Cricetulus griseus: one gene and its partner. The protein of the gene in region 2 purifies or fractionates together with the protein of the main gene of each other region. This does not show direct contact. Links are inferred from orthologs where the notes say so. Each region holds a gene or a part of one and is shown on either strand. Other genes may lie near its edges.

What was found.
Region 1: the proteins of Ppp2r2a (region 2) and Cdca4 purify together in Homo sapiens (affinity purification with mass spectrometry; 4 studies listed by BioGRID and IntAct, with this or other methods). This does not show direct contact. The link is inferred for Cricetulus griseus from reciprocal best matches to the Homo sapiens genes PPP2R2A and CDCA4.

The regions. Positions count from the first base shown.
Region 1 is NC_048598.1:181,214,722-181,226,890, reverse strand, and holds the start of Cdca4 (cell division cycle-associated protein 4), read right to left. Parts: upstream 6,168-12,169; 5' UTR 6,027-6,167; intron 5,834-6,026; exon of another isoform or gene 5,682-5,833; intron 5,494-5,681; exon of another isoform or gene 5,185-5,493; intron 1-5,184. UniProt on the Homo sapiens protein: May participate in the regulation of cell proliferation through the E2F/RB pathway. May be involved in molecular regulation of hematopoietic stem cells and progenitor cell lineage commitment and differentiation.
Region 2 is NW_023276807.1:221,996,990-222,008,451, forward strand, and holds part of Ppp2r2a (serine/threonine-protein phosphatase 2A 55 kDa regulatory subunit B alpha isoform), read right to left. Parts: intron 6,727-11,462; coding exon 6,614-6,726; intron 5,850-6,613; coding exon 5,672-5,849; intron 4,851-5,671; coding exon 4,686-4,850; intron 3,926-4,685; coding exon 3,756-3,925; intron 1,963-3,755; coding exon 1,871-1,962; intron 1-1,870. UniProt on the Homo sapiens protein: Substrate-recognition subunit of protein phosphatase 2A (PP2A) that plays a key role in cell cycle by controlling mitosis entry and exit. Involved in chromosome clustering during late mitosis by mediating dephosphorylation of MKI67.

The DNA of each region.
Region 1 (12,169 bases), on a different chromosome or scaffold from region 2:
TAATCCCAGCACTCGGGAGGCAGAGGCAGGCGGATCTCTGTGAGTTCGAGGCCAGCCTGGTCTCCAGAGCGAGTGCCAGGATAGGCTCCAAAGCTACACAGAGAAACCCTGTCTCAAAAAAAAAAAAAAAAAACAAAAACAAAAACAAAAAAAAGAGGCTTACTATACAAATTGAAAATCGGAGTTCAAATCCTTAGTTAGTACCCATGTAAATGCCAGGCAGGTGTGATGGCCCAACTCTAATGCCAGAGCTTGGGAGATAAAAACAAGGGATCCCTGGAGCAGGCTGACTCTGGACTCAAACAAAACACTGCCTCAAAAATTAAAAGTGGAGGGGCTGGAGAGATGGCTCAGAGGTTAAAGCACTGACTGCTCTTCCAGAGGTCCTGAGTTCAATTCCCAGCAACCACATGGTGGCTCACAACCATCTGTTATGAGATCTGGTGCCCTCTTCTGGTGTGCAGATATACACGGAAGCAGAATGTTGTATACATAATAAATAAAATCTTTAAGAAAAAAATTAAAAGTGGAGAGCAAATGGGAAAGATAGCAGGTATCAGCCTCTGCACCCCCCCCCCCCACGCATCCACGCACACACATAACACACCTAAACAACTGCTGGTTATTATGTTTTGTTTTTGAACCAGGCAGTCCTGGCTAGCCTAGAATTCACTGGGCATACCAGGCCAGCCTCTGCTTCCCTGGGGATTGGGATAAAGTATGTGACACCACGCCAGGCAAAATACTTTTTAAACTGTTTCCGCTGACTATGGAGCTGGAGATGGGGACCTTCTATTCCAGGCCCCCACATGATGGCTTACAACCATCTGTAACTTTGTTTCCATGGTATCTGACAGACACCCTCTTCTGATCTCTGTAGGTACTGTATGCAAAATACCTACACACACTCAAAATAAAATCTTTTAGAAATAAATACTTAGGTTGGGTTTGAACACTTGATCTCCAGCTGATGGTGCTGTGTGGGACATCACAGAACCTTTAAGAGGTCGGGCTGTGCTGAAAGAAATGCACAACCAGGGACAGCTTTCAGTTTTACAGCTTGGCCCTACAGCCTAGTGTCTGCTTCCTTCCTGTGTGCAGATGATGTCATCACACTGCTTCCTGACTACCAGGTTGGCTGCCTCCTTCCACTGATGTGCCTTCCCTGTCTGATGGACTCAATGTGTCCCTGCTATTAACTGCAAGCCCAAACCAACCCTTCCTTCCCCAAGTTGCTTCCTCAGGTGTTTTGTCACAGGGACAGAAAGGTAACCAATGTAACTTTACATCACAGAGATTTCTTTTTTGGTGTGGCAGTATGTGTGTTTAACAGTACCTATGTTCAACAGACTGTTCTCTTGAGATCCTTCTGCCTCAGCCTCCAGAGGGGCGGGATTACAAGTGTTAGCCACTAAGTCTACATTAATTTTTTTCATTTTTTTAAAAAACAATTACACGTTCAAAGGCACTAGGATAACACTGCTAAATTTATTAAGGATTAATCTACTATATCAAACTATAACAAGAAACCCTGGATTAGGGGGTGGGAAGTCCCAAAAGTTCCTCTTTGGCAAGTTCCTCTTTGATTCAGGGTTGACTCTTCATGATTTAACAACAGAACTTGAACCAAACTAGCTCATATGGCATGAATTAAACCCTATTTTGCAGACAGAATACCTAGACAGAAATCTAGCAGATAGCTTAAATTGAAGGCAGTCTGGTTCCAGGGAGGGTATGGCCAACCAGAGGAGGCAGTGAAGAGAACTCACAAAAGGACAGAGAAGATAATGAATGGGTTCCTGAGCTGGAAGTTTCCTCCCTTCTGGCTACTATTCTTAGTGACAGCAGGTAGAGCACAGGCTGAAGAGAGAAGTCATCATTGGTCTTTTCTTGCCCGGGGCAAGAAGCCAGGCAGCTAGCAGACACAAGAAGTAGTGAAAGTAAGATACACAGAAGCAAAGAAAAGTAAAAAGCCCCAAGGCTAAAGGTTGATAAACAAGAAACAGGTTAATTGAAGTCAAAAGAGCTAGCTAGAAACAAGCCTAAACTAGGCTAAGCATTCATAACTAAAAGTCCCCGTGTCATGATTTAGGAGCTGGTTGGAGTCCCAAACGAAAAAGCCTGGCACAGCATTTCTGGTGCCATCTTAGGACTAGCCAAGGAGGCAATTTACCTACTACAGGCAGTCATGGGATGCAAGAAACAAAATACCCCGCCCCCCCAATTCAAGGCAGGGTTTCTCTATATGTAGCCTTGGCTGTCCTGGAACTCACTCTGTAGACCAGGTGGCCTCGAATGTACACAGAGAGATCCACCTGTCTCTGCCTCCTGAGTTCGGGGTTAAAGGTGTGCACTATCACTGCCCTGCTAAGTCTTTAGAGCTCACTGGAAAACCAGACCAGTAATAGGAGGCACTAGGCTCCTGTTTTTCCTAGGTAGCAGTTAGCCTGCTTGTCTAGACCCACTTAGTTCATCCTAAGGTTGAGAAGTTGCAGTCTGCTGTGACGGATCTGGAACCCGGAATATCCATTAGATGAGGAGTCCACCAAGCAGGCTATGCTAGGTAAATGTGAACCTTTTCTCTCTAGAGAACCAGCCTATGGGAGAAAGGACAGAACTGTAGGGTGTGACGTGACGATGGTAAAAGCCTTTAAAGCCCAGCACTAGAGGCAGGTGGATCTCCTCAGTTCAAAGGAATACAGTGAGTGAGACCCTGTCTCAGAAAAACAGAAAAGGCTGAGTTTTTCACCGGGACTTTAAAAACCATTTTCTGTGCCAAATTGGAAAGCTATTTTTGCTAGGCTGACATCCGTTTCTGCAGAGTCATAAAACTAAAACTGTTTTGCTTCTTAAATTTGTGATTACAGAATGGAGGTGCTGTTTCTCACATAGGCGATGTTCATCACCTAGTCAGCCCACCCCTAGCCACCCCCAGCAAAGCTTTCCTCAAGACTGCCAAATAGTGATGGGACCAACTCCCAGCCACAGAAGTGTTGGTGACACAGCCTCCACATGCTCTCCCATGTTTGGCTGGTTATTTGCATAGCTCACTAGACAATCTGGAAGAGAATAAAAAAATCAGAAAACAAAAATGCTCCACAGTTCTAACCGTGCAGAGAAAACCTGCCATTCTCTAGGTCCCTTTTCCCAGCCCCTTTCTTCGTCCTGAGCACTGGCTTCCACAAGTTGTTTATCTTGTCAGGGAACAAGGGGGTCATCATTTCTGGGAGTGCCTACTTGTCGCATGCACAAGCACACCAGGCAGCCTACAGCCAGCACCATCCTAGGAAACATTAATTTTTCATATTTGCTATGAAAACTACCCTCTCCACATTTACTAACTTTGCAAGTTAAACATTCTCTTCTTTCCCCAACTCTGCTTTTTTGATTTTTTTTTTCTTCAAGACAGGGTTTCTCTGTGTAGCTTCGGAGCCTGTCATCTAGGCTGGCCTCAAACTCACAAAGATTCACCTGTGTCTGGCTCCCCAGTTCTGGGATTAAAGGTGTGTGCCATCACCACCCTGCCTCTGTTCCCTTTTCCTTAGGGTACATAAAACTCTTGCACAACAGAGCTTTAACCAACACTCCCTATCCTGCTAGGGCCAGAGACTGTCCTTCAGTCTTGTTCACCCTCCTCAGATTTAATGATTTTAAACACGCTGTGGCTGGAGAGATGAGACTCTTACAGATGATGAAGTTTGGGTGCCCAGCACTCATATGATGGCTTACAACTGCCTCTAACTCTAGTTCCAGGGATTCAATGTCCACGGGGGGGGGGGGGGGGGTTGTTGTCACAAGGTAAGCTGTGGGGTATTCCAGGACAAAAGCTCTGGAATGGAAAATACAGTTGTTTGCTTACCTGTCACTCTAGAACCTAAGCTATGAACAGGATGGTGATGGTGTAACTAGCAAGAGGAAAGGGGAAACTTGAAGGTGAAGGTCTGTATCACCAGCACAGGTTCTGTAAATGGTTGAGCTCTAGGGACTCTCTTAGACTGCCCTGGGTACAGCTCCCTGTGGCCACCTGAGTTGCTTAATTCTTCTAGTGAAGGATTACATGCAGCTTCCTGGGCTCCCACCATGACTTTAGGCAGCCACCAGAGTCTTGGTTTTATGTGAATAGACCTATCACAACCAGGCCTTGTACTGTGGCCAGTCAAGCACTCATCTGGATATTGGATTTTTAAGGTGAATCAGGATTTAGTGATTTCAGAACTGGGCATGGTGACACACCTGTAATCCCAGCACTTGGGAAGCAGAGACAAGGACAGTTAACAGTTATTTCTGGCTACAGTGTCTGCCTGAGGCCAGCCAAGACTAAAAGAAACCCTGTATCAAAAAATAAAAACAAAACAAACAAACAAAAAAACGAAACAACAACAAAAATCACAACTGCTTTAAACTACTTCCTCAAAAGCAACTGGGAGGAGGTAACAAGTTGGGAAATTGCCGGGCCCAATGATGAAGTTTATTGTCCCACTGTTTCTACTTGAGATTTTGTAGAAACAGTTCACTAAAAATTCCTAATTAGATTTCTCCTTAGAAGTATTGTGGGGCTTTCTTAAGCCTGGCAGTAGGTTCCAGTGACAACCTGAGGGAAACTTCCTGACCTTCTAAAAACTAGCACCTCCAAAAATGGGGAAGGGATTCCTGGATGCATTTTACATTTCATCCATAGAACCTCGATGAAGCTGCATGCAGGACTCTGATGAAACATAAACCTTAATACTGCATGCAGACGACGTTTCCTGTGGAGCTATTAAATCAATGGCTACCTCAGCCCTGCTGTCTGGTAGTCAGATACAAAGGCCACCAAGACAAGGTACAGGCTGGACCAGTAAGTACAGCTGTCCCAGGTTCTGTCCCAGGTTCTGGGAGGACCCCCTTCCCTGGTGGTCTTATTTGGGTGAGAGAAACCATAAAAGAAAGCCTCTGGCATTCCCCACCCCACCCCCAGTTCCATTTAGCCTCAGGCTAGATTAGGGGAGACCAAATTGGCTCCCCGTCGAGTTCCACAGATCCCCGGGGCGGGCAGTATCTACACCGGGCGACAAAAGATGAGTTCAGGAGGAGGCGGGGGTATACGGTAGCAGGGGAAGGGGTTAGGCAACACAAGACACCGGGTAACCTCAGGGGGATCAAAACTCGGGAAACAAAGGACAAGACGGCAAGGCCAGCACTCACCGGGCGGGCGGGCGGCGGCCCTGGCCTCTCGGGAATCCGCCCCCAGCCGGCAAGCGGACGACGTCCGGACGGGGCTCGGTGTCGCTAGGAGCCAGGCCAAGCCTAGCGCCCCGTCCCCGTCCCCATCCCCAAACCGCAGCCCCCGCAGGGGCGGCCGCACCGGGCACGGACGGCGAGGCGGAGGCCGACGCGGACCGAACCCACGGGGGCCCCGGGCGGAGGAGAAAGGAAAAGGAGGGGGACGGAGCGGAAGCTCGGGCGCGTGGGCGGAGGGCGGGGGCGCCGGCTCGCAGCAGCCGCCGCCGCGGCTCTCGGGATGTGTCACTCAACGCGCCGCAGCGTCACCGACGCCAAGGGAGGCCGAGGCCCGGGGACCCCGCCGCCGCCGCGCGAGCCGCCCGTCCCGCCCGCCCGCCCGCCCGAGCGGGAGGAGCCGCCGCCCGGCCTCCGCGCAGGCCGGCCCCGGGCCCGCAGGAGCACACAGCCCGCCCGCTTACCTGCGGCGCCACCCCGTCGGCCGTGCAGCCCCGGCCCTCAGCGCCCACAAAGGGTCGCCATGGCGTCGCCCGCCGCGCGAGCGCCGATTGGTGGAGCGCGGGGCGGAGCTCCGTTCAAACCCACGCCAGGCGGAGCCTGTGCCGCGTGGGCTCCCGCGCAGCGCCCTCAGCCGTTAGGATCGCGCGCCGGGCGCCCCGCCCCGCCCGGCCCCGCCCCGGCCCCCCGGCCTCGCTCCGCCCCCTTTCCCTTGTCTCTGGACGGCCCGACCGCGGGTCCCGGCATTCCGCGCGCCCTGGCTCCCAGAATCCCCGCGCGCTCGGCCCCGCCCCCGGCTCCCAGGTAACCTTGCGGGCGTCCCTCCCTTGCCGGTTCCCGGCCGGCTCGCCCTCGGTCTCCGTCGACCTCCGTCCTGCGGTTGTCCGTAGCGGCGGCTCCTTTGAAGCCCAGGAGGGCCGAACGAGCCTCGGGGGTGGAACCCCGGAACCAGGCCCCGGGGTCTTCCGGCGGGACCCCAAGTCCCGCCGCCGCCGGTGACGCGTGAAGCCGGTGTCCGGTGGCTGGCAGAAGGGACGGTGCCACGTTCCGGCCGGAAACAAGCGTGTGCGCAGGGAAAGGCCGGGAAAAGCAGGGCCAGGCGCTCGGCTGTGCGCTGCGCGCTGGCTCTCCCGGCTCACCAGCCCACTCCCTGCCCTTCCTTAGGCCGCACAAAGGAAGGCCCTCGGAATCGACACCCTGTCTTCCTTTCTTATTACTGCTCTTTTAAATTTAATCTCTGTGTGCATTAGTGTTGCGCCGCATGTATGAGTGTGCGTCAGTTGCGTGTGTGCCTGTGCATGACCTGGCCACCGTGGGTGTGTGTGGGGGCTGAGAGCCTCACCCGGGTCCTGTCAGAACTACAATTGCTCCTAACCCCCCCGAGGCATCTCTCCGACCCGTGCTTTAACTTTACAAAAGCACATTTATCTAGTGTTTCGTGGGGGACAGACGACTCTTTGCAGGAATCACTTTTTTTCTGTCATGTGGGTCTGAGAACCTTAGGCTTGGTGGTCAGCTGCCACTGAGCTGCCTCTTCGGCTCCCTTTTCTTTTTCTTCGTCTCTTTTGGGAACCGGCCAAAAGCCTAGGCATAGTTTCCCTGAGACTTTGGGCTTTCTGTTTCTTTGACCTCCTTGTCTAACTTAAAAGGCAGTCAGTCTCCTCATCCCCCTCCTCTTGGAGGCCACAAGTTTTTCAATGTGTTCACCCTCTTTTTCTTTTCCTCGAAATCTAATAAAAATTGTCCATGACCTTCGTTCCAGAACCGTCTTAAGTTATTTTATTAGTAAGACTAAGAACCCAAAGGAAACCAGAGTTGAGCTGACCCCTGAATGGAATTAGGGCAAGAGAGAGTCTCTGCATTTGACAGGCGTCACCCAAAGAGAGCAAGGCTGGATGGGAGCTGCTTAATAATCTCCACTGCAAGCCCTCAGAGGGTTCGACGAGGGATTAGACTACCGTGGAGGAGTGCTTGCAGATGTCACTGGCAGTGAGAGGTGACTCAACGGGGCAGCCTGAAGAGCGGGAAGGATTCAGGATTCTATGAAACAAGGTTGGGGAAGCAGTGCACACCCAAGGGTGTGTGTGTACAGCTCAAGAGAGTACATAATTTTGGTGGCTTTTGAAGTTACTTTGTTGAAAGGATGTACTCTAAAAGATTAATAATCTTTTAATAATGTAGCCTCAAGTGGGAGTTAAGGACTTTAGCCCTAGCACTCAGGAGGCAAAGGCCAGCCGATTCCTGTGAGTCTATATCGAGAGAGCCAGGCCAGCCAGGATGACATAGTGAGAACCTGACTCAACAACATCATTTTGCAGGGGCTGGAGAGGTGGCTCAGTGGTTAAGAGCCCTGGGTGCTCTTCCACAGGACCAGGATTTGGTTCCTAGCACCCACATGGTGGCTCACAACCAGGCATGAAAATGGTGCACAGACATACATGCAGGTAAAATCCCTATACCAAAAAAAAAAAAAAAAAATTTTTTTTTTTTGCTATATTTATTTGAAGGCAGAGTTTAAATGAGTCCACAAGACCCCAACCCCAAGATAGATGATAAACAGGTATTTGTTAGGGAAGCACTTACACAAATAATAGCAAACATCTTCCCCCTCCAGAAGCAGTCTCTGCCCTTCAGATACTCTCACCACAACCCAAGAGAGCCTGCCCCTCATCCTTATAAGGGGGTCATGTCTGCACCTGAAGCCACACCCCTAGGATGTGGCCGCCACCAAAACAAGGATAAGACTTCTTGATTTAAAAACTGAAACCGCCGGGTGTTGGTGGTGTACGCCTTTAGTCCCAGCACTCAGGAGACAGAGGCAGGTGGATCTATGTGAGTTTCGAGACCAGCCTGGTCTACAAGAGCAAGTTCCAGGATAGGCTCCAAAGCTCTCTCTGTGGTCCAGGGAGAACAGTTGACATCCTGAGGCTTGCCAGAGCACCTAGAGCTATAACTTTCACTGGCAGCATCTCAGCTGGTATCCCACTGTCACCTTCTATTTTGCTCTACTTGGGTTGTTGCTCCTGCTTGGTGCCCCTCCATCCTGTCTGTGTTGTCATTCACATACAAATCACACCCTCCTCATTTGTTCTCTCCTGTCTGCCCACTTGATTCTTAGAGAGGACAAGTTAAGAACCCGGTGGGAGACAGGAAAGTTGACAGTGACAATACACTAGGTGAAAGACAGGCGTGGTAAAGTAACTCCATGAAGACTTACACCTGGGCATGTAACATACAAAGTCAATGATGAAGATCCAGTTCCTACACAGTTGTCGTGCACTTGGAAACAAGATCCACAAACAGATGGCATGGGAAAGCAAAATAAAACACCAAAGCAGCCCCCAGACATGCTTGCTCTGTCAGAACGGGCAAGGCAAACTGGCCATGACAGGCGCTGCCTTCTGCCCATCAAGCTGGCAGAGAAAAAGAAAACAAATACTCTATTACAGATTGGAAGTGTAGTCAGGCTCAGGTGTGAAAAAAGAGTGAAATTGTGTCATTTTCAGAGGAAGCCAGACGAGAAACATGTTTTCTATCATGCAGGATCTAGATATAAATATTGCTATTGTAGAATATGAGTTGAAGGTGTTACATTTGTTTACGCTGTGGAACATTTGTTTAACGATGCAAAGATGTGTTGTGTTCTTTGATATTGTATTTATTTAACTCTGCTGAAGTGTTTTAACTTTGCCTGTCTAAAACACCTGGTTGTTCTAACAAAGAGCTGAGCAGCCAATAGCAAGGCAGGAGAAAGGATAGGCAGGGCTGCCAGGCAGAGACCATAAGTAGGAGAAGAGAGGGAGGACAGAGAGAGAGAGAGGAGGCCACCAGGGGCTGGCCAGAAAGCCACAGGCCCAGCCACAGCGTAAGAAGAAAAATAGAGAAAGGCAATAATAGCCCAGACACAAAATGTAGTTAAAGAGAAATGGGATAGTTTAAATTAGAAAAGTTGGCCAAAAACAAGCCAAGCTAAGGCAGGGTATTCATAAATAAGAATCATGTATTTATTTGGGAGCTGGGTGGCAGGCCCCCCAGAGAGCAAAGAGAGGGAAAAAAAAAAAGACAAGCCAACTACACATTGAATTTTAAAATATTCTATGTAATACATCGAAACAGAAGGGAACATTTGGGGGAGGGAGGGGAACAGGAGGGTGAGTGGGGCAGGGTTGAATAGGAACAAAATACAATCATATCCTCACATGAAAATGTCATGAGGGCTGGTGAGATAGCTCAGCCAGAAAAGGTGCTTTACCACCAAGCTTGACTTTAAGTGCCCATTCTTACTTACCAGGCCAAGGTTATCTGATATGGCAGGCAAGAAATTAAACCAGGCTCAGGCTGAAGGACCACAGCAAGACCAGAATTTTGACAGTTTTGTTGAGAGCAATCAGAGTTTTCATGCCCTGATCAGGAACAGACTAAATGTCAGTTGCCAGGACCAATACAGTTGTAGCTGCTGGGATACAATGATGTGTGCAAACTTTACAGGGCACACAGGTTACTGTCCAATACCAATTGTCCTGTCAGGCTTCGGTGCTTCCTTGACTTCCAAGGGAACAATACAAGAAGCACAGTTTGGCATGGAAGCGTCACTGCCTGAGGGAGGACCTCGATTCTCAGGGACACACACAGTGCCCCAGGAACCACGCACTCAAACCTGAAAAACCTACAATGTGTGGCGGTTAGGACAGGCCAACTCCACGGTTCCCTGAACTTAATGACCCAAGTTTGGTCCCAGGACCAATATGCTGAAAGGACAGAACTAATTCTCATGGGCTGTACTCTGATCTCCACAGGCATGCTATGACATGCACTAGCCATGACTCCAAGCAAATAGGCAAATAAATGTAAAAAACAAAAAAGTCATAATGAAAGTCTGTATGTCAACTGTCTTAGTTTCTTTTCCTGTTATTATAAAAATACTCAAAAAAAAAAAAAAAAGACAAGAGAAAGGTTTACCTTATCTCACAGCTCAAGGTACTACTTATCAAGGTGGAGAGATCTTAGCACTGGCGCCTCAGGGAGCTGGTCACAGAGTGTCCACAGCTACACAGAGACCTATGAATGCTGAGCTAATGTTACTGACTGGTCTTGTGTGTCAACTTGACACAACTAGAGTCACCAGAGAGGAAGAGGCCTCAGCTGAGGAACTGACTCTATGAGATTCAGCTGTAAGGCACCTTCTCAATTAGTGATCAGTGAGGGAGGGCCCAGCCCAGGGTGGTGCTACCCCTGGGCTGATGGTCCTGGGTTCTAAAACAGGCCATGAGGAGCAAGCCAGTAAGTAGCTGCATTCCATGGCCTCTGCATCAGTTCCTGCCTCCAGGTTCCTGCCCTGCTTGAGTTCCTGTCCTGACTTTCTTTGATGATGAACAGCAATGCTCAAGTGTAAACTGAATAAATGCTTTCCTCCCCAACTTGCTCTTGATCGCAGTGTTTCATCACAGCAATAGAAACCCTAGCTAAGAAATTAGTGCTCAGCCTTTCTCTGTTCAACCCAGGTCTTACCACAGCTAAGATGGATCCTCTAACCTCAACCAACACCACCAAGATAATCCCCACAGGCATGGCCGGAGGTCCATCCCTTGGGTGATTATAGATTCTGTCAAACTGGCAATTAATTTCATCACACAAACTTTAAAAAAAAAAACACTCACTGGAGTAAAAAATGTGTTTCAGGACCTCTGTCCATTCTTTCCCCCTATCTATAATTTAATCACATGTTTTGGGCCATAGGACCAAAATGGCAAAAGAAAAACAAAAGGAAACATTAAACAGGGAGGAAACAGATCTGTGGGTGCCTCTGATACAGAAGTTTTCTGATTGTAATTAACAGTGGTCGGTGTATTCAGGGAAATTTAAACACAAGTGGTATCTATACAGTCCTGCACTACTTTCCCTGCTTCTGGCTTCTCGGCTGATGTTGCTTCCTTCTGGTGATTCCTGGTACTTCAGCGCTGCCTCCCACTGGCCGTTGCCTTTGCAAGCCCACTCACTCATGCCTGCAGCAGACAGAGCCCCTTAAATGGATCATTGCTCAGGACCCCCCCAGTAGCCCCATTTGTGGTGCTCAGAGGAAACTGCAGTGTTGGTTCCTGGCTTCCCAAGTAACCAAGCCATGTCCTATCCCCTGGTCCCCACCACCCTCCCGGTAGCTCATATGTGCCCTGCTCTGGTCCTTGCCCACGCCTTGCCCAGACCAGCTGTGAGACTGTGAGGCTGTGCGACTGCCTTCCTGCCTTCACAGCTTGCTCACTTCCCCAGTGAGTGGGACTTCAGCCAAATTTCCGTTAATCCCTTAACCTCCACAAGCCCCTGCTTGAACTGAAGGGCCCCAATATTTCTTGGGGGTCTCCCAGAATCAGTGTTAATTCAGAGTCAGTATCCAATAAACCCCAGAAAGTCTGATGGTTTCCTTCCCCCAGGGGACAGTTACCTTTGTAAAAGGCTATATAGGTCTGTCCAGGAAAGGGCTGGAGAAACACTAACTGGGAAACAGGTATTTTATCAAGATCCTTCCTCAGGGGAACCTGGCCTACCCTTCATGCAAGGAATTCCGCATCTACACTGGCTCAAGTCTAGTAATTGGTTCATGGGCTGAGAGACTGGGGTTCTCTTTTGCTATGATCCAGTGGAACATTCCTTTTATTTCTTTGGGCATTTCCCCACTCACACAGCTCAATAAAGATACAGTCCCAGTCTCACCTCCTTCACGCCAGGGACTGGGATGCTGCGGCGACAGGCCTGACCATGCTATTGCCAAGAGGCATGTGGAAGACTTTGGAACTGTAGACTAGAATAGCAGTTGGACACTTAAAGTGGGGCGTAGCGGGCCATCCTTGTAGGAGCAGGAAGACAGTGCTAAGAGCAGTTTGGACAGTGAGGGCTCAACTCCAGATACTTCAGAGGGAAAAATATTAGCAAGCAGCCTAGATACTGTTCTTGTGATATT
Region 2 (11,462 bases):
TTCTGATTTATTCAGAATGCCAGTCCCTCAAAGAACGGACAATATCAATTGAATTCAGGGTGGTGTATGTCCCTGATAATGAAACTGTTTCTTTAAAAACAATTCACATAAATTAAGCTGGTGGTACCCATCCATGTTTGTAAATTTTTAACTGTTACTTTGTAGCACAAAATGTCCAGGTTATGAAAGACAAGAAAGAACTGGAGAATTCTTAAAATACATAGAACAAGTTATGACACCATGTCACTTTAAGACAAGAGCAGGTTTCTCTCTGCCATGAAGGGACTGAAACCACCTGGTGGGTCACCGAGCTCTGGACAGCACTAACCAAAGCTGGCTTTGAGCTGTAGCTGTGGCAGATGGGGCCCCTGTCCATTAGGAAGTGGTGTGGGGGCCGGCTGGGGGGGGTGGGGTGGGAGGAGTTGTCAGTGGTTAAGAACACTTTCTGCTTTTACAGAGGCCGGGTTTCTGTTCCCAGCAATCCAGGGTGGCTCATGACCATCTGTTACTCCAGTTCCAGGGTTCACTGCCCTCTTTTGGCCTCCACAGGCACCAAGTACAAAAACATACTTCACATACATGTAGGCAAACATTCATACACATAAAATTAAGATAAACATAAGAATAAATTTTTCAATGCATAATTTAAAAGTAATTATATTCCAAAGAGCTTGAGAGAGAGAGAGAGAGAGAGAGAGAGAGAGAGAGAGAGAGAGAGAGAGAGAGGGAGAGAGAGAGGGAGAGAGAGAGGGAGAGAGAGAGAGAGAAGTCAAGACAACCTTTATGGGTCGGTTCTTCCTTCTCTGCAGGTTCCAGTAATCCAACTGAGGTTGTTAGGCTTGGAAGCCTTTTTGCTGTATCCATCACCCTGCCTGCCCTCAGAAAGTATCCTTGATGTTGAGAGTTATCACCTTCCTTGACAACGGAAGGGCACTGAGAACTAACCATACAGATACCAGACATGGGGAAACTGACTGTAAGACGCCACACCTACATACACCAGTACATTCTCTTCACATCTGTCCTTCCTGAACTCACATTTAGCAATGACATCACAGGTACTTACCCTGCAGGAGGCATTCGAGTAGTGTGATCAGCCTATTATTAAGCCTCATATAAAACTCAGGCAATTATAATTTAAAAACCAGAGAAAAGACAAACACCTCAAGTTTGAGGGCTCTAACATCTAACACCAAAAAATGTGAATCATATCAAGCTTTTTAAATTCAACTACCGCCAAATAAAGCACCTGTAATTGCTTTAGATAAGGCCTAAAGTAACTGCAAAATTATGCTGTGTTTGAATCGGAATACAGTAAGCACTAAGAACTTGCAATAACATACAAATTGCTTCTGTGGAGTGAGTGTCGTGGTTACAGACACTGAAGTACAACACTGCATCAAGTACCTGAGCTGCCCAAACAGTTCTCCAATGAAATTCACCACTTTAATTAACTGTTGGCATATCTGAGTTATGATTTTGTTTTTAATGTTTCTTTCATGAAACAGTCTGCATTACTGACTCAGACTCCTCAAGCACTCTTCCTGCCTCAGCTGCCCAGGGGGGCGGAACTACAGATACACACTGTACATGGCTAGCAATGTCATTTATGTGGCTCACAAAAAAAGGGGAAAGATTTTATAATGTAACTTAAATACCTATAACTTCTTATTATAGATCTCTTATGCTTTATGTAGAAAATCAACACTTTTTTTTTAATCATTATAACTCTATTCATGATTACTAGGTTTATTTCACAAGTACCTGGAAGAAAAAAGAATAACTTCTGTCAAAGAAACAAAAAATTAGGTCTTTATTTTTACCTAGTATGACAAACCAGAGGGGATAAAACAGCAAGTTTCTTCCTTACCTGTCAGACCCATTCCAACAACATTCAAATTTGTCAAATATGCAGTCATTTTCATAGAGTGAGCAAAGTTTACTTCTGAGGTATTCATGTACCTAGGGAGAAACACATACTCCATTTCAGTCTCCTCTCAAATCAGGAACATTAAAAATTCATTTAAACAGTGGATAGCAGAATCACACCCCCCCCCCCCTCTAACCTTACTTCTCCTGGTCCTTACATTTTTCAGTAGCACAACTGAGGAAAACACCTTTCTGGGCACTGCAACGTACTCCAATAAGCCTAACTAAGACATCTGTAATATTCAAATAAGAATGTACACCCTCCATAGATTCATTTATCTGAATGTTTGATCCACATTTGGTGGCCTATTTAGGAAGGATTAAGTGGTGTGGCCTTTTGGAGGAGGCCTTTTGTGTCACTGGGGTAGGGCTTTGAAGTCAGCCTCCCTCTGCCTCCAGTCAGTGAATCAGATGTAAGCTACTGTTCTACACCATGCCTGCCTGCCTGCCTGCCACCCATATTCTCCACCATAATGAAACTGTAAGCAAGTCCCCATTAAATGCCATCTCTTCTCCCGCCAGGGACAGGGTTTCTGTGTAGCCCTGGCTGTCCAGGAACTCACAAGAGATCCACCTGCCCCTGCCTCCCAAGTACCAGGATTAAAGGTGTGTGCCGCTGCCGCCGCCACCACCAGCAGTTTAAAATAATTTCTTTCTTAAGTTGCCTTGGTCATGGTGTCTCGTTCACATAAATATAACAGTAACTGAGACATCTAAGCCAGAAGGTATTTGAAAATGGCAAATAAGAGACTAACAAAAGAATGTTGTAGCAGAATTTAATTTTCACTTTTTGGCACTCAGTCCATTACTGCTTATAAGAATGCTGCTTCCTTGCCTCTGAGTACCATTTTCTGAGCACAAATTTAACTGTGCTCTGTTATTTTAAATTAAATATACAGCACAGAAAGGATTAGGCTTAGTGACAAACTGATTTCTCTCAGCTGTCTGTCCCCATCTCCTCACTCTTATCTACCCACATCATTTAAAAAGTCTATGGTGGGCTGAGATATGGCTTGGTGGATAAGTATGCTTGCTATCAAGCCTGAGTTTGATTCCCAAGATATGCAACATTAGAGAGAACTGAATCCTGAAAGTTATTCTCTGACATGAGGGTCTCAGTGTCATGCATGGGGAAGACAGCTAGCTCTCCTGGATACTGCCAACACTTTGAAAACAGAACATTTCACGCTGATTTTGTTTCCATTTAACATTTGTTTGTCCTAATTTTGTAAGCATCATGCATTTCCTAAGTCTGCTTCAGAGCACTTCTTTCTACACCCTGGTCCACAGGCTCTGCTGGCCTGGCCTGTGCTGCACTGTGTACCTCACTCTCATCTATCTCCGATGCTGTAGATACGGGTCAAGGACAGTAGCTATTTGACAGAGAGAGAATATTGAACTTACATTCTACACCAAAGAGGTAACTCCTAAAGCCACTGACAGAGAATTCAGGCCCTTTATACTTGAAACAATTAGCCAAAAGATATATGAGTCATGTGATTGTCAGGTCAAACTTAAGCCCCGGTCCGCTATTTCTGTACACTTTTTATCCGGAGTGTGCCCTCTGCTGAGAATGCTTTCCCGAGCCCTGCTGCTGTCCACATTTCTCACTCCCATATACAAGGCAGTCCACCACAAATAGCCAGCAGTGAACCACGTGACTAACAAAATTAAGTTTACCCACAATCGTGAACAAACAACATACACTTTACACAGTTAACAGCAACACATCCGTGGCTCTCTGAAAGAAATGTGCCACTCTGAACACCCTGTGCACCTCTATACTGTCCACAGGTATACACTCTTTCAAAACAAACTGCAAATACCTGGTATGTCTCCACAGGCCTGTTTTCCATATTCAAGTCCCAAATTTTGACTGACAAATAGTCTCTAGTCATCATATAGCGACCACTATGGCTGAATTTTACATCAGAAATAGAGGAGATGATTTCAGAAAAAAAAGACCTGTTGCTGGGATCTTCAGGTTCTTCAAACACTGAAAACAAGAGGAAAAGTTTAGTATCTGGGTTTGGATAGATCATTTTCTAATAACCAAGTGAGGGAAAAAAAATCACAGACTAATACAGAAAAATTAAAACATTTTGCCAGCTTTGGGGACAGGTTCCCTCACAAAATCTCTCAAGAAACTTAATGATTACTACACAATGCAGAGCCCTGTTAATGTAGGGGTCTGCTTTTCCATAGGAGAGTTCAAGTGGGACACTCTACTTCAGTGCACAATCCGCCTCATTGTCTCTATTGTCACTCTGGAAACCACCCTCCACTCTGCCCATCCAAATTTCCAGTTGCCCCATAAAAGGATTTGTTAACTGGCATGTATCAGTGTGTGTGTGTATAACTGTACCATATGTGTGCAGTGTCCAAGCAGGCCAGATGGTATTGGATTCCCTGGAATCCAAGAATCACACAGTTGTGAGCTACTATTCTCATAACTACTGAGCCATCCTTCCAGCCTCATCCATTTTAATGCCAATGTTTTTGTAGGGGGAGGGTGGCTTCCTAGTAAGTTGAAAAGGTTAAGGAAGGAGGGATAAGGAAAGAGAGAAGAAAGGAAGCTCTGCTTGAATACAAGGCTGGAAAGCTCAACCGCACATCCATCCACATACATGCCCACCTCATGTGCTTTCTATGGAATAAGCAAAGTTTCAGATGGAGTCAGGAAGTTACCCACAGGCACACAGGTCAGGCTGAGTCTGAGTGGACCCACTTTAAAGAAAGGGCAGAAACAGACTTACATTTAGAATGTCTGTCACAGAGCGCAGATGCCCTCATGTCACATAACCGAATAGTTCCTTTACTGCTGCTGTACACGAATGTGTTACAGCTGTTGGGATGGAATTCTGCTGCTGTAATCACCTCTGTGAGCTCTTCCATATTGGCAGGCTTGATATCCACAATATCTAGATAGCATTTCATTAAGGAATCTCCACACAGAAAAGGGAAAATAACTAAGACCAAGTATTTCTTAGTAACACTCTATTCCTTTTTATGAGCAAACCCCAGAAATGTTAAAATGTGATTTGTACTTTTTTTCTTTTTTTATTGAGAGACCTTGCTATATATACAGTGTAGGATGGCCTGGAACTTCTGTTCTCTGGTCTCAGCCTGCTGAATGCTGGTACTGTTAAATAGCACTATCACACACAAGAGTAATAAATCTTTAAATCAATTTTATGTTCCAACATTAGTTAGAACATTTTTGAAATTAGTACTTTACAAACATAGCAAACCACTCAATTTCAATTTTTATAGGCACAAAAGAAATTCCCTAGAACTTCAAAAATTCTATTTTGGGATCATCAGCTCATATGATACGTATTTTTTATTTTCTCATTGAGTTAACTTTTTCTCAGTTTTAATTACTTAAAAATGGGGGTGGGGAGATGCCACAAAGATGGAAAGACATAGTAAAACAAGGATCTAATACGTGAAGGAACTCCCTAAGCCTCGATACAACGGGGCTGGCCTAGGCCCTATCCCAAAGGATATGACAGACTTTGAAGACCCCCCCTACAGAAGGCCTCAGCCTCCCTGGGGAGCAGAAAGGGCATGGGATAGGTAAGGTATTAGTTGGGGAGGCAGAGGGACCTGGGATTAACATGTAAAATAATCTTCTAATTAAAATAAAAATTGAAAAAAATACATGAAGGAGAGAGAAGATAAATCTAATACCGACACAGTATGATTTCTTTACCAAACACCAAACTAATCAAGTGGATACTAAAACTCCTGTCTGTAATTTCCAGATGCCAGAGATTAATCCGCAAATCATCTGCTGATAAGTAGGTTTCATAATCACTATTGATAGAAATTGAGTTGATGTGGTAGGTATGGGCATTGGCAAATATTCTCCGTGGACTGGCCTCCACCATTAGATCCATGGGCCTGAACACTGGCACCTGTCAATGAAATATGAAAACCCAGATTCACAAGACCATTATTCTACTTTTCAGAAAACAACCATAAGAGATATAACGAAGAATGAGTCGGTGTCTCGTTTTTTTGTTTTTGTTTTTTTTAAGCCACTGATGTTGGTTCTCTTTAAACACCAAACTGGAAGAAAGAAAAATAAACAATCTGGACAACTACTTTCTTCTCCAAGTTTTCAAATCATAGTTCCAGTATAAACCTAGTACAAGTGTATGATTTGAATTAACATGGCTAAAAAAGTAAAACCCAGTTTCTTATTCTTAGCATCTTTAGCATTAACTTTAACATTCTACTTTTTTTTCTAACATTTCTACTTTCTGAGTTCCAAAGACACTTACTTTGTAACAACCAAGATTCCAACTCTGAAAGCCAAAACCAGTGTTAAGACAGTGTGAGTCCCATGTCATCTGTGCCCCCGCCCCCTTCCTCAGGAAGCAGTGAGACCTCTGTGTAGCTGTTTCTATTTCAATGAGAAAGATGCAATGTCCCATAAAGAAATGTCCACCAGTGGTTCTAGGAACAGAGGCAATAATGGCACCTGCTTGGTAGCCAGGCTATACAAATATTGACAAAAATCCAATCAGAGGCATTTTTCTTTCTTTGAAGTCAGCACTGGCTATCTTGGAATGCACACTGTGAAGACTAGGCTGGCCTCAAAACTCAGAGATCCACCTTCCTCTACCATGCTGTGCTAGGATTGAGAACCTCCCCACACCTTTTTAAAAGTACTTACCCGTAATGTAGTGACTGTAGTAGGATCTCTATACCTTCCATCTTCCTCTTTCAAGTTATAGCCTTCTGGTCTTTTGTCTCTTTCACTGATTTTCCATAATTTTATTGTTTTATCTGGGGAAAGAATGAAGAAAGTCTTCAAAAATGGCAGAAAAAAAAATAATCCTGATAGAAAAGCTATTCTAAAGCAAAAATTTTAGGTATGGAAATTAATAATTCACATAAAGGAATTCCTCCCTCCCTCCTTCCTGGTGACAAGGTTTCAGGGGGTAGCCTTGACCATCCTAGAATTTGCTTTATACACCAAGTGGATTCAAACTCAAAAAGGTTTTCCTATCTCTGTCTCCCAAGTGCTGGGATTAGGGATTAAAGACATGGGCCATCGTGGCAGGCTTTTTGTTTTGTTTTGTTTTTGTTTGTAGATAGGGTTTCACTCTGTAAACCAGGCATTTCTAGAACTCTTATGTACCTCTCAGATGCTGGGATTAAAAGAGTGCCCCATCCCCCATAAAGCAAAACAAAAAGAATTCATGTGCCTTTTCATTTTCATCAAGGTAAAGTCAGGTGTCTAACTTTCAAAAACAGAACTGTTGCATGTGTATAAACTGCCTATTACTGAGCTCAACTAGCCAAATCCTTGGATCCCATCCTAATACGTCTTATGGAAAACCAGAATCCTTGATAGCATAGAATGATTTCTTTGAATTTGTCTTTTCTCTTCTTTGATCAGTGATTCCCTAATACAGAGGAGTCTGAAAAGCAGTGGTTAAAAACAAATCCTCACTGAACAATGGGTGCTATAATCCCAGTACTTGGGAGACAGGGGCAGGCATATCATATATGAGTTCAAGGCCAGTCTGCTCTACAAAGTGAGTTCCAGGACAGCCAGAGGTGCCACACAGGAAAACCCTATGTGTGGGGGTGTGCAGCATGCAAATACTCAACCCCTTCAAGACAAAAATTCCTCTAATTCAAGGATGGATGGATGGATGGATGGATGGATGGATGGATGGATGGATGGATATATGTGTGTGTGTGTGTGTGTGTGTGTGTGTGTGTGTGTGTGTGTGTGTGTGTGTGTGTATTTATATACATATATATTTACCTAGGAATTGGGTCTAGACTCAGAAAATTTCAAATTTAGGTGTATTCTCATATACACAGACTTTACCCAGTCTCTCCAATGTCAAATCTAAGAACAAAACATTCTTGTCAAAACCATGTGTAATGCTAGTGAAACTAAGGTGTCCATGAGATTTGAGTTAAGTTTCCTACTAAATGCCCCTTTTCTGGTTCCAGGATCCAAACACCACAGCATTTAGTCATCAAGCTTCCTCAGTCTTTTTGTTTTTGTATTGTTTTGTCAAGGGTTTCTCTGTGTAGCTTTGGAGCCTATCCTGGAAATCGATTGGTAACCAGGCTGGTCTCGAACTCACAGAGATCCACCTGCCTCTGTCTCCCAAGTGCTGGGATTAAAGGTGTGCACCACCAATGCCCGGCCACCTCTTCAGTCTTTAAAGCTGCCTCTCAGACTTTGATCATTTGTCATTTACCTAGAGAACTGTTGAGTAGTGGTCCCTTAATGTCTGTCCCTCTTTGGATGTTTGGAAAACACAATGAAGTGACCTCTAAGCTCACTGCACAAGGGTACAACTCTGTCAGCATAACTTATGGTTGGTAGCCGATGTTGCCACTGCACAGCTGCACACCTGCTCACTTTGCCTTTGCAAATAAAATCTACCCATGTATTGCTTGTAATTATTTACATGGATTCATGTATAAGATACTTAGGTACAGCTGGGCGGTGGTGGCACACACCTTTAATCCCAGCACTCGGGAGGCAGAGACAGGCAGATCTCTGTGAGTTTGAGACCAGCCTGGTCTACAAGAGCTAGGTTCCAGGACAGCCTCCAAAGCTAGAGAAACCCTGTCTCAAAAAACCAAAAGATATTTAGATATAATTCTAAAATGGTATTTTTATTCAAAAGCAAAACAGCTCTAATTAATGTTCTTACATAAGCAAAACTGAATACCCTAGTTTTAAAATAACTCAGAAGCCATTTTATAAGTAGTACAAGGCAACTGCTACAGGGAAACATCAGTGGCAGTGTGGCCATTTCTACTGCCTGTTTATAGCACTTGATACAAGATGAAATGTAAACGTAAAAACTGATAGCTTCTAAAAATATAAAATGGAAAAAAGAAAGCATCTTCAAATAGCACTGGCATAACTGGAGTTGACATGTAGAAGAATACAAATAGATTCATATGTATTGCCATGCATAAAACTCAAGTCCAAATGGATCAAAGACCTCAATATAAATCCATCCACACTAAATTGCATAGGAGAAAGTGAGAAGTATCCTTGAACGCATAGGCACAGGAGACCACCTCCTAAATATATAACACCAATAGCTCAGACACTGAGAACAACAGTGAATAAATGGAACCTCCTGAAACTGAGAAGCTTCTGTAAAGCAAAGAACATGGTCAACAAGACAAAACGGTTTCCTACAGAATGGGAAAAAAACTTCACTAACCCCACATCTGACAAAATATACAAAGAACTCAAGAAACTAGACACCAAACTACCAAATAATCCAATTAAAAATTGGGGTATGGTTAAAGAAATACTCAACATCCTTAGTCATCAGGGAAATGCAAATCGAAACAACCCTGAGATAACATCTTACATTGATCAGAATGGCTAAGATCAAAAATACCAACGACAGCTTATGCTGGAGAGGGTATGGAGTAAAGGGAACACTCCTCCATGGCTAGTGGGAGTGAAAACTTGTATATCTGCTGTGGAAATCAGTATGGCGATTTCTCAAAAAACTAGGAATTAATCTACCTCAAGATCCTGAGATACTGCTGTTGGGCATATACTCAAAGGTGGTACATTCACACCACAAGGACACTTCCTCAACCATGTTCATAGCAGCATTATTTGTAACAGCCAGAGCTTGGAAGCAACCTAGGTGCCCCTCAACCAAAGAATGAATAAAGAAAATGTGGTACATTTATACAATGGAGTACTACAAATGGACAGAACTAGAAAACAGATCTCCACAGATCTATATATAAGTAGCCATTGGGCAAACCTCCCAGAATACAATCGAAGTGAGAGAGGAGCGATAATATGAACAAAGGAGTCAAGACCATGATGGGGAAACCCACAGAATCAGCTGACCAGAGCTAATAAGAGATCACTGACATTACACTAACAACTGGGGAGCAGCCATAGGACTGAACTAGAACTCCTGAATACAGTTGACAATGGTGTGGCTTGGGCAGTATATGGAGTCACTGGTGGTGGGACGAATATAATATATTGTATAAACTGACTTTGTGGAGCCCATTCTCTATGGAGACATACCTTGCTCAGCCTAGACATTGGGGAGTGTGTGTGTCTGTGGGGAGCACCTTGGTCCTGCCTCAATGAGGTGATGGGACAGACTTAGTTGACCCCATAGGGGAGGATTTACCCTCTCTGGGGAGCAGGTGAGAGGTGGGATGGAAGGAAGGAGGGGAGAGCAGGAGGAGAGGAAGAACTGGGATTGGAATGTAAAAAATTTTAAAAAAGAAACAAAAAAAACCCCTGCTAGCTTCAGTAACTTACCATCTACTCCTAAGCTCTAGTGTAGACGTTTGTAATTCTCTTATAGCCGAGCTATGTGTTTCCTATGCACTATTTAGTTTATAAACAAATGATGAAGAAATAGATGCTCAGATACAAGCCATATACATACTTTCTTTTCCTCAGAAGATATAAAGATCTGCTTAGAAACCCCCTTCCCAAGATGAGGATGACAGACGCCCCACCCCTTCAGCTGTCTTTAGCCTATTGAAATTCATCAACCCTATAAAATTTGGTCCAGACAGGAAACCACAACATACTTAACAGACTTTCAGATGGGATGAATTAGTTAATGCTTTTTACTTTACAAGGAAAAACAAAAAAAATAGCAAAAAGCCCTCTAAAGCAAACAAACCACCCTGAAAAAAATTAGATATTCTTTTCAGGCTTTTTTTTAAGCTGTAAAGCTTGTGATTTACAATTTTAAAAATAAAGTTTTGTTTCAGTGATAAAATACACAGCAATGAAATACTAGGATGGCTAGTTTTGGGGAGCAGGCAGACAGGAAATAAATTACCACATGAAAATCACTTTTACCAAGCATTTCTGCCCCACAGCAGGTGTGAGAATGACCAACTCCACAGAACCACACCATCAAGTGTGATGTTATACCTCACTGGAAAGAACCATTCATCTTTTAAGCTCTCTTCTTCCTAAAATGTCTATTTCCCTAAACTGCCAACAAATAATTTAAGTACTCCACCAATCCAAAGGTCTCTTCAATTCTCCTGCTACAAGCAAAGTGTCAGAGTAAAGAAAACCATGTGGCAAAGTTTCTTTTGTGGAAATGTAGCTCTCTGTGGTTTAAAATTTCTTGCTAAAAGCTGTGAGAACACGTTCTCGTGTGGCTCATATTCAACATGGTGATCAGGTATCCTTGGTGTAGGAGAATTAGCAGGACTCAGGGAGAGGCAAAGTTTGTTTTTAAATTTGAACTTAATTTTATGTGTACCTGGTGTCCACAGAATCCAGAAGAGGTTATTAGATGCCTATTAGGGATGTTATTAGGGACTGGAGTTAGAGTTGGTGTGAGCCACCATCAAACCTGGGTGCTCTTAACCACTGAGTCATCTTCTGATCCAAGGATTTTGTTTGTTTTTAAAGAACACTCAAAAGAATATAGACAAGATGCAGTTATTCCAAGTAATGTCTAACTTTTTATTGATATAACGACCCATTTTAGGGGAGGGCTATGATGCTGTATCTCACA